Linked DNA regions of Mytilus edulis. Each later gene encodes a partner of the first gene's protein in a complex. Links are inferred from orthologs where the notes say so. Each region holds a gene or a part of one and is shown on either strand. Other genes may lie near its edges.

Region 1 (11,121 bases):
TGGGTACATTTGATTGTCTTTTTGTTTTGTTTTTCTCTCCTTTTCTTCAATTTGAAAACAGTAATTGTTTGTAATAGCACTTTACAAATTTGTACACTAACTATGGGTCATAAATAGTTGTGTGTGTATTTGATTTAGGCAATATTACTTGGGATGTTGGTTGTAGGTGGTATTTAAGAAGTCCCTGCCTACCCTACAATATCCATCTTAATAATTGCATAATCTTCAAAAACAGATGCTGAGAGTCTTGGAAAAACTTTTGTTAGTCAATTGGTCTAGCTGAGCTAAATCATTCATACCTTTAATCTTTTCTCACAAAGAAGGCTTTTTCTTGGGACAAATATGATGTGATATTCTTTCCTAAATCCTCCTTTTTGTTCTTCCCTGTAAATACATGTATAAAATACATACAAATTCCATTCATTTAATTAACACTGCAAAAGTTTTCAACTATCAAAATGTAGTTTATTTTGTCATGTTTATCCTGAACTACATGTACAAGCACACGTAAACATTTTTTTAAAAATTATTTCCTACACATTCTAAAGCTTAAATCAAGCTCAAAATGGAGCTTAAAATCTGGATTAGGCATTATTAAAATGTAGCTTGAATGTGCAACATGTTGTATATCCTTTTTAAACGAAATATCATACATCTTCAAGTACAAATTGTAGTATAAAAACAAGAAGATAGACTGTGTACCAGAGCAACATGTTAAGAGGATTTTTAACATGTTAGAACACATGCAAAGAATCAACAGGAAAACATATACAGTGGAGTCCCCGGTGTACGCGCGGCCGGTGATACCGCTCATTCGCTGATTTCGTTATATCAACACAGTAACGCAAATAAAATTGTTCTTGTTATTGTTTTAGCATTCCGAAGATAAAAAAGAATAAAATTGATAAGTTCCAGATTGAAATAGTAACACTAGCTTTGCATACAAATTACTCTGTTCCAAATCATACAGTTTTTGGCCTTACTTATAAAACATTGAAAGACAAACTACTCAGTGTTTGTAGTTTGTTGCTATATATCATATTTGTTTTTCAATTGTTGTTTTATAAACAAATACAGCCTTTAGTTTTCTAGTTTGCATAGTTTTATATTTGTCATTTTTAGGCCTTTTACAGCTTACAATGCACTAAAGTTTTGTTCATTGATGGAAGCCGTACAGTGGCCAATAATTGCTTTTATCTGTGTCATTTGAACTCTGGTGGATAGTTGTCTCATTGGAAATCATACCCCATTTTCTTATTTCTATACTGACTGTAATAAATTCTGTGCTATGAGATCCATGAGTTTCAATCTTGGTCTGGCTATAAATATAATATTCTGTACATTACTTGGTGGTAGACCAGAAGTCTGCAGTGGAAACATCTTCTCAACTTCATGTTCCTATTAATAGAAACATAAAAATATATATCGAAATTGTTAACAAAAAAAGTAAAACCGTTCTCTTAAAAATTGTATAATGGTAGATATTTTGCAGAACCATAAAGTTTTTGCTTCCCTTTATGCTAAACTCTTAATACACTATCACTTATAGCAACATATGTAAAGATGTCATGCAAAATCTAAACTTCTTGGTTTAAATTTGTTAGATATCAATTAGAAAGAATTCAATTAAACAACAGCAAAATAGCATTTCATTCCACTTGCACAATTTTTGTGTGAGGCACAGAAACTAATAATCAATGTCGGTTAAAAGCTCATCAGAGCTTATGATCAATGTTTTAGTTTGCATACTTTTCAGACTCTAAATAAAGCTTTTATCTTATTATTTATTACCAATATGATGCAATAAAAGCAAAATATGCATATTGTTCCTGTGTATTTTTTTCCATGCATAAATCTTTAAATCTTTAATCACCAACATTATTTTAGATATAAAATGTCATTGAAATATGGAACATTGAATGTTTTCATATCTGTATGTATTTTGGTAATAATTGAAAATGTGAAACAGGGTGATTATGAATGACTTGTGACAACAATCTTTCTTTGTCATTTGTTGCTGATAATAATTTTGATTTCCATTTATTGTTTTGTACATAAACATGATCTGGCTGTTGGTTTTCTCATTTGAATTGTTTTTCATTTATCATTTCAAAGCCTTTTATTTCTTGCTAGTAGGTTGGCTTGTAGTTACTAACTTCTATGTCATTTGTTTACTGTAAATGAGGTGGATGGTTTTAAAAGCCAAAATACATATATAGAAATATCAAGAAATCAAAGGAAATAAAAAAAGTTATTTTCTGAACCAAAATTCATTGTATTACTAAATTTACCTTCAGTAAAGAGTATTCTGCTATTAAACCAAAAGGTCCAGTCAAATCATTATCCCATACTAATGCCTGAAAAATTAATCACTGTTATTAAATAAATCCTAGACAATATAACTTCCTATTCTTGTACCAAAGAAGAGTAAATTTAAATTGAATACCTGCTACACTTCCATTGAAGTCATAAATGTACATGTTTAGAGTCTACAAATTAAAGGAACATTAGTTTTAATTCATATTCAACATTTCAAGTACTCACTGTAAAAACATTTGTTTTTGAAACACTAACCCAGTATCTTTATTGTCTGAATACAATAATTGTGCTCAAAATTTTTATGATCGAATTACAAGAACTTTAAGAAGTCAAATGTTGTTGTGTCAAAATATCAGTTGTCAGCTGCTCTATGGTGGGGTTGTTGTCTCTTTGGCACATTCCCAATTTCCATTCTCAATTTCATTAAAGTTATTTGGAAAAAAACATAATGATTTTCTGACCTAAACATGTGAAGATGATCTACCATGTTATTTCTATTCTTTTTGGCCTCCATAGCAATCTCTAAAAAAGGTAGAGATTGGTTTTGGGGAAACAGACAATATGTATTCTATTCTTGGCCTTTATCAGTTTCAGATCTGTTTTAAAAACAATCTAAGTTTGAAAATATCAATACCATAATGAAACAAATACATGTGAGAAATCAGTGAAGGGTTATACTTATACAAGTAATTTATATTCACTTGTAGATGTCAGATGTATGCCATTATTTGATATATACTTGTGTTATAAAGTAAATCTGTAAAATTTATATTTTTTTTCAAGATTTGAATAATCTCCCCTTCTCCAAAAGTGTACCTGTATATATACAATGATATGAGTACATTGAAGAAATTTTATTTTGAAACCCCTAAAAAGTTCTAAAGTTAAAAACTGGCCTGAAACAAACAATTGGACTAGTAATATGTACTAACTAATAAAAAATGAAGACATTTATTTTATATTTGCAATACATACATTTATTTATACATACAATTTATTTACTGTAATTTTTTTTATTTACAATGACAATTTCTACAAATCAAGTACATGAAGTAAGTGGTTTTTAAAGTCCGACACATTTTTGATGAACGAAATTGCGTCCGCCACGGTTACGTGTACATACAGAAGTTCTTAGTATTTAAGTTACAGTTAGCAAACTTTGCTTTTGATGTATCAATTTGGGTCAAGTTGCATAGCTGTAGTGTATGAAATTTATGTCTTGATTTTGTTTAAGTTTGACGGTTTAAAACGCATCCCAATTTTTTAAGTTTTTCACCCTAAACAAAATTGGTTCAAAGTATAATGACAGTAATAAGAGTAGGTGTGCAGTTAAATACTTTAAAAAAGAGAAACCATTGAACTATATGTTTCGCCTTTGACACTCCTAATCTTGAGTATTATCTTTAAGAACATCAAAACCATTAATACGTAAAACTATTCAAGTTAAACACCATTTGAATGTTGATTTATAATATTAAATTTATCAGTATTACAAGTATTGTTTAGTACATATGAAAGAATTAAGCAAAACAACTATAGAAGATTTAAGTTTAATAAATCTAGCGTACATTGCTGTTTTTCATGTAACAATAACGTAATGTAACCGTAGCCTCAGTAATTATTGTTACATTCGTAATTAATCGGTTCCACACCCAACTTTGCATTCCGGCAATTAGTCTCCAATGTAACAATAATACTTTTATTATTGTTACATTTCCATGTAACCGTAGCCAGTGCCTAGAGATTTTAATCTGACATAAGGAAAAATGTGAAAACATGAATTGAAAAAGAAGTTTTTTTAGGGGTCGCCCAAAACTAAGACCTTCAACTTAAGAAATAGGTTTCCTAAACCATTAACACCACTATAGATTGACTTATTTGGATGGTAGTATATAGCCTTATCTGGTGCTGATCTGTAAATATATTATTTGGTTTCCGCCCCCTTAGCTTACTCTTATGTCCATTGGGGTAACTAGAATAAACCACACATATATTGATTATGAGTCTGCTTGCCTTAGAGCCAAGACATTTGTCAAGAGCTTCTAAAAGCTCACGTCTGTAAAAATCTCTCAATAAACTCAGGTTTATTTTCCCACTTGACAGGTGAGAACCTCCAGTCGAAGCCATGATGGAATAAATGTGATTACCACAAACAGAAAAGTTTTAATGTAAGAACGCAACGTCCCAATTTGCTAATGTTGCTATCTTCTTCTATTGCATGGATGTCCTTTCACAATCATGGAACATAAAATACAGCTGTGTGTGTCTATTGAAACGCATCACACAATTCTATTTTAGTCATAAATCTAAAAGGACTCTTTTAAACAGTACAAATTAGGGGTTGGGGTTGGGGGGGGGGGGGGGGGGGTATTTTTTGTTAAATATAATGTTAATTCCCTGGTAAAAGAATCTCTAAAAACAAACATAAATTTACATTCTGCAAGAATTTATTCTTGGTACTCATTTGAAGATAATTACTCTAATATTAATGTACCTTTTAAACAATCTAAAAACGATTTAAAATGTAATATCAAAAAGTGTGATATAGTAGTTTCAGTTCAGATGAATATGAAAAAATACTTTAAATAAACTTTCAAAAATGGATTCCTCATCTAAACTTTGTCTATAAGAGAAATTAAAAAATAATTTTGAGTCTGAGGTATGATTTAAATTCAACTAAATAATTTTGTCATAGGCAGTTACTCTCAAAATTTAGACTTAGTGATGATTCCCTAGATATTGAATTGAGAAGGTATACGGAACATTCCAAGAACACAAAGATTATGTAAAAGTGTGGAGTCCTAGATGACGAATTCCGTTTCTTTTTGTAATGTGACACTACTAACATATCATTTCGTTCTAATCTGTTGCAAATCTAAAAGAGTATGTACCATTATTTCAAAGTCTTGATGCATTTAATAAACTAAAACACATTCTAAACCACATCCCTGAACTTGTTTGTCATATTGGAGTCTTCATTAAGCAGTCTTTAGAACTGAGGGGGTCAGACCCATGTCAAACAAGCTTATGATGGTTTACGTTTTTTTACATAAATTTATAATTGAACTATTAAAATTATTGTATTACATTGTATTGCAAGCGTATTGTATATAATTGTTTGATTGTATTGCCTGACCCTTATGGGTGTAATTTAGCAATACAGATTATATATAATTATACAAGGCAGTCTCTGATTATATGTATAAAGTTAGAGTCTATGAGGAGACTTTTTTACAATAAAAGTTCAGCGGGAATAAACTTAAAATTCAAAATAAAATGTTCTTGCGTTTACCAGTTTGTGCTGTATTTCTGTTACCCAATAAAGCCATGCAGTGTTGTCATTTTCGCGATATTTTTTTTTAAACATTGTCATAAAGCAGGGGGTTTGGCTAGCCATTTAACCAGGTTCAACCCACCATTTTTCTGAAAATGTCCTGTACCAAATCAGGAATATGGCAGTTGTTATCAAATAGTTTGGCTTTTTTGTGCTTTCTTTTTTGCACTTCAGTGTCCTTTGTTTTTCTCTAGTTGATGTGTTTCCCTCAGTTTTGGTTTGTATTCCGGATTTGTTTTTTCTCAATCGATATATGACTTTTGAACACCAGTATACTACTTTTGCCTTTTTTTTTTATCATGTTATACACTTACAGTATATACGTAAAGCGTGAAGAATGTCCTGTCTATAGAAATAAGAGTCCTGATCATGTGGTGTGAGTGACAATGCACGGAGACAACCTTTTATTCAACTCACAATGTGTAAAATTACACAGTAATAGTTCAAAGTACGGCCTTCAACACGGAGCCTTGGCTCACACCAAACAGCAAGCTATAAGAAAACCTCAATATCACTAGTGTAAAGCAATTCAAGCAGGAAACCCAACGGTCTTATCTATATAAAAAGGAGGAACGATAAGTACTTATGAACCACATAAAAAGGGATATACTTATTCAAAAATATATAACTGTTCAGTAGCCACTTTATATATAATGTCAATTTATAGATTATCTCCTTGTATGCTATATTCGAGTCCTAGCTTTTAAAAGTCTGAATCAGGGAGTATGAAATTTGTAACATACACTTGCGGAAAGATTACGGATTTTGATAATGTCCTTCTTCTGGAATATTACACAGTTGTTGCCGGTGAACAGTTGATAACAAGCTGTACATTCCAAGTCTATGGTCCAATTATATTTATTGTATGATATTTTCAGCTCTCGAAAGGCTTATTGTCTTTACTTATATAGAGCTGGACAGTCTAGAAAGAAATTAATCTTATCTTCCTTGTCTAATTTACAGCAGTTTGGGTGCTTCCTGGGATGATTTTCCCTGGCCAACCAACATGACCAACATGGCTTGAAATAAAGCATAAGGGGCAAATGTAATGTATGTCTTTTATCTTATAGATATAGAAATAAGTCAGATAGATAAAATCGTTAGTCAACTCCTAAGAGGAGTTATTGCTATATTCAAAGACAATTTTCACTTTTGTGCGTTTTTGCCATCTTGAAAATTTTAATACATAAACAGAAAAATGTAGATAAAAAAAGAGGACACACAATTTAACATGGTCGGATTTTTTTAATCAAGTCCTATAAAAGTCATTGTCCTTATTTTATCATTATGCCTTTTTTTTTTAAGCATATGCCTTTTCCAGTACGGTGACCCCATGTTTTTATTTTCTTATTTTATTTCAAATACGAAAGCTTTTATCGAATTCTTATCTAGAAAACATTGATCAATTCATTTCAAAACTATGAGAAAAAATACAGGTATTTTACAAGAGGATAAAAATAATATATAATTTCTACTAACAACAATAATCTTTTATGTGATACAGACTGTTTATGAAATATTACAATGTCAATTATTACAAGTTATGTTGGCTATTTCAAAAGCTTTTACCTACAGCCTAAAGGGTATAAGATTTAATGGCGATATTATTTAGATCCGAATACAAGGATAGTCAGGCTTTAATTTCTACATTCTTCTTTATTGTAAAGCAGGATTTTCTGGTCTTTTCCATCAAAAGCTATGTTAGATAATATGATACAAGTGATTGGCAACTCCATTTATGAATAATGACCATATCTTACACACTCCTCAGTTGGATATGGTTTAAAAGGTCTTAAATAAACGTTTCTTTTAGTATATAGATATTATGAATGATGATAATTATAAACGTTCAAAATTGATATCATGGTCTGATATTGAAATTTGAAAGAAGACGCAGATAAAATTGAGTCGACTATGTTGTTATGGTTCCTATTTCTGTCTTGTAACGTTAAGGGTTGATAATAAAAAAAAAATGTATGATTTTATAAACCATATCAAATCAAATAAAGTTTGCACTAGCTTTTAAAGCTTGAAGACAAGCTGGGTGAGATGTTTTTTTTTTATCCTATTCTATTGATATTGAGCAAAAAACAATATAGCTCTGTAATTTTTATTCCCCATCCCTGTTATTATTCTACTATTCTAGTCAGTGCCAGGTGTGTAAAGACTAACACCTTTCATTTATAGGCGGCATTTATATACACTTTAAGTTACCGTGAAAATTAATGTAAGCTTTTTATATATATGTACAATTATATGATAAAGAATTTTACTTAAATAAAAATTAAGCATATTGAATGGTGCAATTAATTTACTTTCTTACATTACTTTGAAATAACTTTGTTAATGGTTCTTTGCTAAACTTTTTGTTGGGAGACGTTATTATTTTATTAATGTTAGAAAAATAAAACACAAAATCTTCAAAATTTTGTTTTTAAGAATATTAATTTTAGACAATTAAAATAATATTTAATCCTTAATGATCAAATATATTTGTAATTTATCAATATCTATTGGAAATAACTGAAAAGTAAACCGGCTTTCAATTTAGGATCCCTGTATTTCCGGTGCATTTGTTTACCAACAAATTAGCTTCAAAAACAGACGAAAGCAACACCCTTTACCAGTCTACATACCAAAGAACAAAATTAAAGCACACATGACCTATAAACCATAAAAAAAAATATATCTGTAATGGCACTTCCGGTGGTCTTGAATACAAAATGATGCGAATATGATAATTGGTTCCTTGTTTAATCAATATTCATGGATGTTGATTATCTGTGGTAACTGTTCCGAGCATCTTCAATACACATTGTACTGTGGGCTAGTACTATAGGAGTTCAGGGGCTTATGATTTAGTATGAAATATTAATGTTACATCTGGGACTCTTGGACTCTTCTGAGCATTCAGCAGACCTGAAGCTCAAAATGGAAGGCCAGAACCCAACAGGTGAGGTTTATTGGTTAAACTTTTGATTTATTATATTATGATTTCAATTTTCAGCCAGTATGCTTTTTTATTAGAATCCTTTTTATTAAAATAAAGCATTTATATTTTCATTTAATTTTTTGCAGAATCAGAAAACCGACAGAATCTGTTAAGAGCTGTCAAGAAAGAGGTTAGTTGCTATATATGTTGTTAACTTTGTGTAACCACAAATAACATCCCTTTGATATTGATACAAAAATCAATAGGATAATTTATGTTTAATGTGTCACTGGAGATGTAATTACAGTTTTCAATTGATTAATTCTGGGACAACAATCATAATACCCTGATTTTCAAAGATAGCATAAAAGAAAACGGAACGTTAATTAAAGATATTTTTTTTACAAAGATTTTTCCTTTGATATCAAACAGATATAAAAATGATATGTTTAATCTTGGACCAATAGATTCATGTTTAACACCAGATTTAGCATCTTAAATAAACAGTTATATTTTTATCAGGCCTGTCAACTTTTTCATAACACAAATTTTTTGTGAATTTTTTATTGGACAAAAAATTGTATTAGCTCACACATCAATTAAGCAGCAAGCAAATCTAAATTTTCATAGCACGTACTTCATTCCATACAGGGGTAATAATATATATAACATTTTGCAATGATTGATTGATAGATTGTAGTCCAGTAGCAAATATTTCATGCATAATTAAGACAAAGCAAATTAATTCATTTATTTGTGTTATAGTCTTTATAGTGGGTCTCATTGGGGTCTAAGTGTGACGCGAGATTGCCAATTTTTTGTAAGCGGGACACGTAAAAGTCAAATTATTGTGTCGTGAAAACGGGAAATGAGGTCTAGTGGGACCTGGGAAATGACAATTGCTTACATACATAGTGTAAGCGGGATATGGGAAACTGACCAAACAGTAAGCAGGATCCGGGATGGGAACCCCCCCCATGAGACCCCCTTTATATTGAAAAAGTCTTTAGTTTTTTTGCTGTAAAGTCATTGTGTCGGTTATTTTCTTCATATAAATAGTGAATTGTTGATAATAAGAGATAGCTGTACAAAATGTAACTTATATACAGAATGATTTATAAGGGTAATGCTGTCATTTTAGTGATACTTTTAATATTGTTGTATTAAAGCATAAGGTTTGGCTAGCCACAAAACCAGGTTCAATGCACCAATTATTCTTAAAATGTCCTGTACCAAGTCAGGAAAGGGCAATTGTTATCTTATATAGATATAGGAAGATGTGGTGTGAGTGCCAATAAGACAACTCTCCATCCAAATAACAATTTATAAAAGTAAACCATTATAGGTCAATGTACGGCCTTCAACACAGAGCCTCATAGTTATAGTTCATTTCTGTGTGTGTTGCAATATTGTTTTTTTTTTTTTGTTGCACTTCAGTGTTTCTGTTGTATCACTTAAAGGATCTACTCTGGACATTTCAAGCTTGACACATAATGTGTAAATATTTGGTCTATTGTTGTAGAAATTATACAGATTTGTATGGTTGAATACTGAACACCTAACTCTAATTGTGACATGGTTCAGTTGCTGTCTTAAATATAAAGTCCTTACATCTGTTTCATGTATTTGTAATTAAAGTGCCCATTCTTTCAGCATGTTCAGCTGAAAAATTCCCATGTGACATGTGCATGTGATATGTCCCAAACATTTTTTAAAAGAGAAGGTAACCTTTGCATGTTATTTGCATTCTTGATTGATTGATTGATTGATTGTTGGTGGTTTAAAGCCACTTTTTAAGTACATGTACCATTTTGGGCTGTTTCTTGGCAGCCAGTTTTTAGTGGTGGAGAAAGCTGAACGTTCTGGAGAAAACCACTGACCTTTGATAGGAAACTGACAATCATTTAATTTAAGATTGGAGTCAAGTGCACCAGCGTGGTCAGGGTTCAAACTCACAACCTCAGTGTTGACTGGCTGACAACTTGACCACCAAGGCCCATTTTGCACAGAGTTTTCTACTAAGTCTTGAAAAAATGTTGCCTGCTCTTTGGCATGTTTGGTCGGGATGTTGTCTCTTTATCATATTCCCATTTCCATTTTCAATATTACTTGTTAATAAGAACAAGTAAGTCCATCTATTATGTACATGTATGAGGGGTAAAATTCATGTTTTATTTTTTTATATTTTTGTTTTATATGTTATCTGCTCTTTGGTCGGGTTTCTGTCTCTTTGACATATTCTATATTTCCACTCACATTTTCATTTCAAGTTAAACCCTCTAACCATGTTGCTATCAATTGTTATTTGATTCAAAGATAATCTATATATATTTCACCTGCAGAAATACCAGAGTCAATTTTAGAATTGCTAGAATTTGATGATAAATAAAAAGTGGAGGCTGAATTCATGACATGGAAATGTCAACTGTTTTATTAAAAGATCAACTGATATTTTTAATATAGATTGAATGCCTTCTTTTAGCTCACCTGGCTTGAATGGCCATGTGAACATGCGCAATCACTTTGTGTCCATTTT
Region 2 (10,058 bases), on another chromosome or scaffold:
ACCCTTAAACAAAACAAAATCAACTTATTACTTTAATTTCAATACCAAATATTTCTTGTCTTCCAAGGAAAAGATATGTTGCCTACCATTTAAAAATAATATAAGGCATTGGTCCATTAATGCACAGTTTTTACAAAATTAAACATGAGTAAAAACCTTTCCTAAAGAGATATTCCATTTCGAATAATGACAACTCCCTACATTTGTAAAACCTGAGGTTGGATGTAAACCTTTAAGCACTCTGAAATTGGATCATTTCTGTAGTTCTTAGTAGCTCGTCTTCCATGTGTAAAGGTCATAGACTGTCATTATATGTCACATCCACCTTTTTCATTGTTAATTTGTCCTTCATATAAACAAATCCAATTCAACAGGGAGCTGACACTTTTTTTTGCCTGTCTTAATTCAGAATGAGATTAGTTTTTTTACCTGTGTAATTGGCTTTTTGGCAAAATTTTTGTTTGATCTTTCCAATTGTACATCAAACTTTGATTCACCTGAAATATAAACAAATAATTATGAACAACCGATATAATCAAAATAATCAGAAAAAAAAGGATTGAAATAATACATCCAGCTTACAATATTGTTCAAATTTAGATACAAGAGTCTTGGTCATGGTAGGTTAATATAGACTAGAGTGATACTTTTTTTGAGTTTCAATCAATGCATGACACCTAGATTAAATATAGACATTTTGTCTATGGATACAATATAATACAAAGTGTCATTGGTTGACTGCTAAAAAAGTAAAATAAATGTAAAATTATAATATTTTGTAAATATTTTAGCAAGCAAATTTAAATGATATTTACCAGCCGCTCCAGATTTTCTTTTGATTCTATACTGTAACAAGTGGCTCTCTTTTGTACCAACAAGTAAAATGTCATCTAAAATAGTGGGAAAAAAAAAAATTATATCACTAACTGCTTGTGAAACAGGTCATAAAGATGCTCTTTCATCCTCTTGTAAAAATGAGTGTAAACAGGAGAAACCTGACAAAGTCATGTAGTTACTATTTGAACAATGTCTCAATATCGTAGTTTGATAATAAATTAGAAATCATTATGGTAGATACAATCATAACAATGTTACGATTAAAACCAGCTTAAAGTACTCACAATGGATTTTGAAGTTTGATAGTCATAGATTCATCATTCGAACGCATTTTCGTCATAATTGATATAAATTGCCATCAAAAACTTTCAATAATTTCTATTAAAATATAAAACTTTATTCAAAACGTTCAGAGATGTCTTCACCAGTTAAACAGGTTCCTGAACTGTGCGCTACACATGCATGAAAGTATTCTTATGACTATTTATAGACCCTGATAAAAAACTTAAAATACGAAATCATTTAGAATCATATATCTCTTACTAATGGAATTTAAACCGAAAAATTATAATTTCCTGATGAATCCGGACTCGTTTTGAATTTATCATCCACGTGTCACTTCCAGTTTTCATTTCATTTTAAAAGCATGCGCATTAATACATATACAAACTCGTGACTTGCGATTTGGAACAAGAACATTTATTAAATAATAATTAAACGACCTAGATGGTTCTCCATTTTTTTATGAGAGAACAGTATCAAATATCAGTTTCATAACGGTAACATATAGAACAAGAGTGCACAGTTTAAAATGTCTCGCCTTCTTTCCTAATCATTGTCATTGATATTATGTTGATAGTCCTAAATATAAAGCTTTATTACAAATGTCACATAAATCTAACCAAGAAAACTAAACATTGACCAATGGCCCATGAAAATGAGGTCAAGGTCAAATGAACCATGCCACGCAGGCATGTACAGCTAACAATTTTTCCGTACAACAAATAATGTTGATCTATCACTTATAGTTTAAGAAAAACAGACCAAAACACAAAAATTAACATTGAGCAATGAACTGTGAAAATGAGGTCAAGGTCAATTAAACCTGCGCGACTGACAAATAGATCATAAAAAATTTCCATACATCAGTAACCCTACCGTCACTACTTTTTTCGGCTTAAAATAGCCTACCCTAAAGATCTTATTGTCATTTTTCATTAAGCACTGTTGAAGTCAGAATGTTGCTCCCAATAGACTCAATGTAAAAAAAACCTATAAAATACAAAAAATCCCTACATGTACCTACCTACCCTAACTTTTTTTCAGATGTAACGGGAACCATACATACTTTTTTATTTGGCCTGACCACCAAAACTTAACCTTGTTCATTGATCCATGAAATGAGGTCAAGATCAAGTGAAAACTGTCTGACCAGCATGAGGACCTTGCAAGGTACGCACATACCTAATATAGTTATCTATTACTTACAGAAATGTATAATAAGAGAGAATTTAACATTACAAAAAAATCTTAACTTTTTTTTCAAGTAGTCACTGAACCATGAAAATAAGGTCAAAGACATTGGACATGTGACTGACAGAAAATTCGTAACATGGGGCATCCATATACAAAGTATGAAGCATCTAGGTCTTCCACCTTCTTAAATATAAAGCTTTTAAAAAGTTAGCTAATGCCGTCACTGTATCTGCCGGATTACTATCCCTATGTCGAGCTTTCTGCAACAAAAGTTGCAGGCTCAACAAGAACTCCACTTCAGTTCTCCTTCGAAAATAGTGGAATAAATTACTTTTGGAGTGTCAAGAACTCGTTGGAAGTACTTGATAAATTGCATGCTTATATTGGTGATTTTGAATCTGTTCAAAATTTGATTTTTCTACCCTGTATACCACATTGCCTCACATTCTCATTAAGAAAAAATTCACACACCTAATTAAATGGGCATTCAAAAAATCAGAATGTGAATATATATGTTCAAACTCTTTTAGGTCATTTTTTAGTAGCAATAAACAAAAAAACTATGTTAATTGGACATGCTTTGATACTATATATGCCCTTGAATTTTTACTAGATAACATTTTTGTTCGCTTTGGGGATTCTGTATATCGTCAGATTATCGGAATTCCAATGGGGACTAACTGTGCACCACTTATTGCGGACCTGTTTTTGTATTGTTATGAGTTACAATTTATGACAAAAATAAGCAAAGACCCATCGAAACAACATCTGATAAACAAATTTAATAATACTTTTAGATATTTGGATGATATTTTGGCTCTCAATAATGACGACTTCAGTATGTATATTAATGAAATTTATCCTGTTGAACTTACTTTAAATAAAGCTAATACTAACAATGACCACTGCCCTTTTCTCGATCTTGATATCTATATCACTAATGGAAAGCTGAATACTAAAATTTATGATAAAAGAGACGATTTTTCATTTCCTATCGTTAATTATCCGTTTTTAGATGGTGACGTTCCCTTGTCACCATCTTACGGTGTTTATATATCTCAACTTGTATGATTCGCTCGTGTATGTAACAATGTTTTAGATTTTAACGAGAGAAATTTATGTATTACTGAAAAATTATTACACCAGGGTTTTCGATATCACAAACTAGTCAAAACATTTACTAAATTTTATCATCGGTATAAAGACATCATTCGTAAATATAGCTCAACATGCAGACTTCTAATACTTTCAGGTATTTCACATCCGATTTTTTATGGAAATATTCTTTATAAAGCACAAAGGTGTCAGTATTCACCTCAGAAACTTACAAAACCTTTGAATAGACTTATTAAGAAGGGATATAATTACGATACTGTTGTCAAGTCATTAAAGATTGCATATTTTGGCGTTAATATTGAGTCACTGATAAGGTCTTTGCATCGGAACTAAACACATTTATTCTAAAAACAGTTGTTGGCATGACACGGGTTATGTTCTTCTCATATATGTTATGATGGTATGATACTAAACCCCTAACGGGAAGGATTGTGCCTGATGTTCATATGATGAAATCATAATCTTTCAGTCAGTTTAATTGAAGTCTGGAGCTAGCATGTCAGTTAACTGCTAGTAGTCTGTTGTTATTTATGTATTATTGTCATTTTGTTTATTTTCTTTGGTTACATCTTCTGACATCAGACTCGGACTTCTCTTGAACTGAATTTTGATGTGCGTATTGTTATGCGTTTACTTTTCTACATTGGTTAGAGGTATAGGGGGAGGGTTGAGATCTCACAAACATGTTTAACCCCGCCGCATTTTTGCGCCTGTCCCAAGTCAGGAGCCTCTGGCCTTTGTTAGTCTTGTATTATTTTAATTTTAGTTTCTTGTGTACAATTTGGAAATTAGTATGGCGTTCATTATCACTGGACTAGTATATATTTGTTTAGGGGCCAGCTGAAGGACGCCTCCGGGTGCGGGAATTTCTCGCTACATTGAATACCTGTTGGTGACCCTCTGCTGTTGTTTTTTATTTGGTTGGGTTGTTGTCTCTTTGACACATTCCCCATTTCCATTCTCAATTCTATTATATGAAAGAAATAGAATTATCCGAATTCAGAAAACTCTCGCATTTATCAAAACTGGGGAATTCCCTCCGATGTGTTTCTAAATTTATAAAAACACTAAATATATATACTGCTTAATTCTGATTTTCTGTGTTGTTAAAAACATGCATATAAGTCAAGGGAAATATCAAACATAAAGATTATGAGAAGAACATTACAGGAAAGTTGTTTAAGTTCAATCCTTTTGCTTGTTTTTACCTTTTCATAAGAATCTGAGATTTTGCTGAATGTTTAGAATAAAACGGTTGATGTGAGGGCATAGAGCCCTGAGTCAATGGTATAAGTCTACAGATTGCTTGAAAGCAGATATCAAAGCAGTCTGTAGACTTAAAAATTGCACTCATCACGTACTCTTTATCAAATTCATATAAATACATTTAGGGGGAATATGAAGTGAATGTGTTTATTTAAATCTGAAAGTTATTTTTGTAAGTATTGTGAAGATTCATCTTAAAATTAACTAAACATGTCACACTGTCAATAAATATTGAACAGGAAATCCCAGGAAATAAATCATGTCATACCATGGCACGTTATAGATTCGATTTTTAACGGTAGTTTTTCAAGAAGTGATATGGCCTCATATGCGTCGTGCATCACGACGATTTATGGCACAAATATACAGTGAATCTATGGCATTTTGTTGCAAAATTCAGCTAAAAAAACATCTACTGCTACTTTTCATGTGATAATCATTTCAAGTCTCCAACAGAGAAGAGTTCTCAAATCACTAAAAACCAAAAGTAACCATCTTGAACATAGACAAGAACGGTCTAAATTGGCTTAACACATACATTTAGACAAATGAGTGTCTGGAGTCAGTTTCACAAAAAAAAACTTAAGACTAAGATTTATCTTATAAATTTTCAAGTATACTGAATTGTTCATGACTTACGATCAATCTTAGTTGTAAGATTTTTTTTGGGAAAACCGACTCCTTGAGAGGGGTCCTTTAATTCTTTATTCATAAATTTTATAAGCCATTTTATCTATTCTTAATTTGGCCAATATTTGGGAAACCCTGAGAGGATAAAGGATCCCTATAGTTTTTATTAAGTCTGTGAGTCCGTCGGACAGTCAATAATATTTACAAGCGCAAAAACTCCAAAACTCAAAGGTATATATAGGAGGCCAGAGAAATTTTGTACAGCTTTTTTGCATATGTAAATGTGCATATGTTTAATTTTTTCATAATTATATTTTGCTCATAATAAGGGGACAACAATTTGATATTCTGGGGAGGGGGGGGGGGGGGGGGGGGGGGGGGGCAGGAGGATTTTGAAAATGAATATAAACTCAGCCTTGATAATCACAAAAAATGAATGGTTTTTGTTCTGTGGTAGTTTGAAAATAAATTACCTGACTTGCAATCACAGTATTGAAAAAATAAATAACTCAGTAGGTCTAATTGAAAGTATAGGATGGCATCAGATTCTTCATAAATTCATCTTCTTTTTTTTTAAATCGGGAAACACTTCCCTAATCTTTTAATAATAAAAGTATAAATATTATTTAAATATACTGGAAACGTCTGAAAATTAGTTTCATTTAACTTTAGGTATATTTACTCAGGAACACTTACCTCACTTTTATTACAGGGCAGTAACTACAATGTAGGAAATTTCAAAACCAAACGCTCAACTCCATATCAAATTGTGATCACAAGGAATGCCTTGCAAGAAGGAAGTTATGTTCTCCCTCAGACGTAGCCCCTGATTTTTCGGGATCAATGTTTCTTTTTTATTTGTCTTTTGTTCATTGATTGCCCTTCTGTATCCTGTTAGTGTTGTATTCCTTTTGTAATTTAGTAATTTTGTTCTTAACTTGATCATGATTTAAAAAAAAAACCAGAAGCCACAGACTTAACTATGTGAATAACATGTTTGCTTTTAATGCATATTGGTCTTTTGGTGTTGTCCTTAGAAACTTAAGTCTTACACTGAATTAATACATTTTGCTTTGAGACCAAAATATGGTCAAAAAATTATTAAAATAGAACTTGCATTTTCAGATTAAGAAAGGGGGTATGGGGAACACCCAAAAAGCATGATTTTTCATCATTTGTTCTATAGCTTTTTGGGCCTTCAGTTGCTCCAAAACCCATAAAAAAAATTTGTTTGCCAATACTTTTAAAAAAGGTTAGATACAACCAAACTTTAATACTGTGTATGTATAGAATACATGTATATATGCAGTTGGGAATAAAGAAGATTCATTTCTCAGAGGATGATGATTAATTCTGATTAAATGGTACATAATGACTTGACTATACATGTATTATTTATAATAAACAAATAATTTAAAAATTGTATGTTTTCGAATATTATAAATATAGTTGTGAAAATAAATAGATGAATAATCAGTCCCTTGCTTTAATGAAAATGAAAAATCTTACTTCAATAGTGCAGAAAAAAGATAACCTGTCCGTTCCCAAAAATAAATAACTGATCCAAAACAAATCCTCCTGCCCCCCCCCCCCCCCCCCCTTTTGAAATTCCTTTTATAATAACAAAAGCTTCAAAAATATTGGTAGGAGGCTAAAGTTAAAAGAGGTGCTAAAAACATTGCCCAAAACAAAATGTTTTCTCCTTTGATCATTTGGTAGTGAGAACATTTTTACATATTTTCTATACATGTACTGATTAGAAAATTGTGAGGTTTTTATGCTTACAATGCGATTTGATTGATTGATTGATTTTTTTAAACACCACTTTAAGCACTATTGCAGTCAGTTTTTATTGGTGGAGGATGTTAGAGTGACTGGAACGAACCTGCGTCATTTGGTAGGAAAACTGACAATCCTAAGTTCATAAGTCAATTACAATTAGAGACGAATGCACCTACCATGTGTGTGATTTGAACTAAGAACCTCAGTGTTGACAGGGTAGTGATACAGTAGTTTGACTACTTATACCCCTCTGGTCCTGTGGTAGGTTGGACATGGTATTCTATACATGTACTAATTAGAAATTGTGAGGTACTGCAGATGCTTATAATGTGAACATATAGTCATATAACTTGTTACATGTATAATGTATGTGGAACTTTCAAGTGTTTAATAAAAATTTTGTATAGATTGTATTGGTTAATTCAACTTTTTCATATAACCTATATTTGTAGGTAGCTTTATTGTGATACCAACTTGATTCAGTCATGAATAGATTGTATACATCCTTTTATTGACTTTTTTGATGAAATAATCACATTGCTTCATATTACCCATGCAACATCGACTTGCACCGAAATTTCTTAGTTTTGAGATCATCCACTTATTGTTTGTTCTATGACTAGACTCACCTTTGTTTGAAATCTTGTCTTTGGTTAATATTAAATAAGTTTTTTTACTAAAAATTAAGTCCTGTCATTTTTGTTAAAATCTCTTTAAGCTTGTAATTGTATAATAGAATGAAATTCAAAACAGTGTGGCTGTGGCCATTGATTGACACATCAAATTCATCCATTGACTGGGACAATTTACGTGAACGTATGTCTGTAACGACCACTGTTAACGACATTTAAACTGTGGGGTCACTCACCAAAGGTTTCTTAACGCCTTTAATTATAAAATAATTCGAAAAACTAATCAGGAATAACCTTTATGTTTTGATTTATATAATTGGTATAAATCAAACATCGTGTTATTTCTGATTAATTTTTCGAATTACTTTATTAAGGTGTTGAGAACCTTTGGTGACCCCATAGTTTTAGTGAGCAGTGGTCATTACATACAAACGTTCACCTAAATTTTCCCAGTCAATGGATGAATTTAATGTGTCAATCAATGGCCACAGCCACATTGTTTTGAATTTCATTCTAATTTAGCATGCTGAGCATCATTTGTCAATGTAAAGGAAACTGAGTTCCATAAATTTTTATCTTGTGTGTCTTTTATTTTTGTTGTCGTGTACTTTAATACTTATATTTCACTTTGTGCTTTGATGATGCACAAGTTGACATGTAATGACCATTATCGTTTTGGCTCATAATCATAAGAAAATAAGCTTTTTTATTAAGCACCTCTTAGACTACTCTATTACACAGTTTTAGTTAAACATTCTGTCATTAACTATGAATTATGTCCTTCAATTTTCCTCAGGGTGAAGAAGGGGTGAAACTTCACATTTTTTTTATAACATGTTCTGTACTACATTCCTATAAAAAAAAAGTCTACAGTGGTTTATTTTGTTGATAATGCATTATAACAAAGCAGCTTTATACTAAAATATTCTACATTTAAAAAATGTCTACCTTAAACCTAGAACTGTGAGAATTAAGTTATGGCATCCATTAATTTTAAATCAAATTTTGCTTGTAATGTAAATCTCTTTTTTTTCTGATATTGCAATTTATTTTTCTTCAAATATAAAACTTCTTCAAGGACTTCCATCTTAAAATTAACAAAATATCCATGATATCAAGTCAAAGTTTCTCGTACAACCTGTTTATTAGTGTACTAAAACTATTAAGAACCAGATACAGCAATTGATTCAATATATATAGGAAAAAGTTATGAAGCAGCATTAAAATATTTTTTGGCAAGTTTTTGCTTACAGTTATAGGATTTTGAGCACAAAAAATAGAAAAGAAAAAAAATAATGGTCAACTGTTTTCTACTTATTGTGCCTTTTATGGCAGATATAAGTCTTTTCCTAGCTGCTTACCCCTAAATCATATCTATGGAATCAGGATACATCTACTCAAAAAGATTCTGCTTTGAAGTTTCAAAAAATATACTGAAAATGGATCAATCAAATCCAAAAATTCCTTCTTTTGACTTGGGTTTTAATCAATTCTAAAGCAGATAAATATACCAAATTACATGTAGAAACTTATATATAAATCCAATATTAGGCAATACCATTCTGCCAAAAAAAGGTCCATGTTAGTAAAGAATATCATTGTAACTGTCTATGTATACCATCAAGTCATTGCAACATGAAGAATTCCTGTTCAAGATGAACAATTAAACCCGACATTATGACCTTTACTCGACACATAACCATGTTTCTTTGGACCAATTGGGCTAAAAGATTATACTCTGAGGTTTAAATAAAACTGACTCTTTAATTCATTTCATGATTTTAATATTTTCTAGAATCTTTTATGAAGCATACTTTACTAAAATTTTACACAAATATAAAAAATTCTACTTGAATTTGTACTTAAATTATAAAGTATTAACAAAATCATATTGTACAAAATACTGTTTACTAGTATATGTTATAAATGCTGTTATCCCAACAGAACTACATCACAATTTTTCTTTACGGTTTCAACATTAATGATCCACATTACATATTTAATGTAAAAAAATAGAAAACTGGCTTTGGAAAGGAAAAAAAGGTCCTGTACATGCATGAAATATTTGCCACTGTAGTGACTGGATGTCAAGCAACCAACAATCAATTGATGAAGAAAACTTGAAAGATTTTTTTTTTAAATCTGGATAATCATAATTTTAGTGAATATGGCCACTATTGTACATTAAATTGAAATACAAGTTTTAACAAATACTTGTGGTAAAATATTTAAATGACAAACAATTTTAAGACTATTTTAGTGATAACAACTGGTTTGCTGGCCTGTAAGTCAATTTAGGTGATGGGAATAAGAAGTAAC

Evidence for each region. Proteins that work in one complex are often made in the same cells at the same time.
Region 2: vacuolar protein sorting-associated protein 33A-like (region 1) and vam6/Vps39-like protein share a complex: the UniProt entries of both Drosophila melanogaster proteins name them as parts of the homotypic fusion and vacuole protein sorting (HOPS) complex. The link is inferred for Mytilus edulis from reciprocal best matches to the Drosophila melanogaster genes car and Vps39.

Annotation. Positions count from the first base shown.
Region 1 is NC_092349.1:42,684,854-42,695,974, forward strand, and holds the start of vacuolar protein sorting-associated protein 33A-like, read right to left. Parts: upstream 4,463-11,121; 5' UTR 4,447-4,462; coding exon 4,333-4,446; intron 2,358-4,332; coding exon 2,292-2,357; intron 1,399-2,291; coding exon 1,271-1,398; intron 385-1,270; coding exon 300-384; intron 1-299. Other genes in the region: small G protein signaling modulator 1-like, read left to right, coding at 8,528-8,606, 8,732-8,775. UniProt on the Drosophila melanogaster protein: Core component of the class C core vacuole/endosome tethering (CORVET) and the homotypic fusion and vacuole protein sorting (HOPS) tethering complexes involved in endo-lysosomal vesicle trafficking and lysosome biogenesis.
Region 2 is NC_092346.1:54,791,548-54,801,605, forward strand, and holds the start of vam6/Vps39-like protein, read right to left. Parts: upstream 5,171-10,058; 5' UTR 5,037-5,170; coding exon 4,964-5,036; intron 891-4,963; coding exon 816-890; intron 498-815; coding exon 430-497; intron 1-429. UniProt on the Drosophila melanogaster protein: Part of the homotypic fusion and vacuole protein sorting (HOPS) tethering complex involved in endo-lysosomal vesicle trafficking and lysosome biogenesis.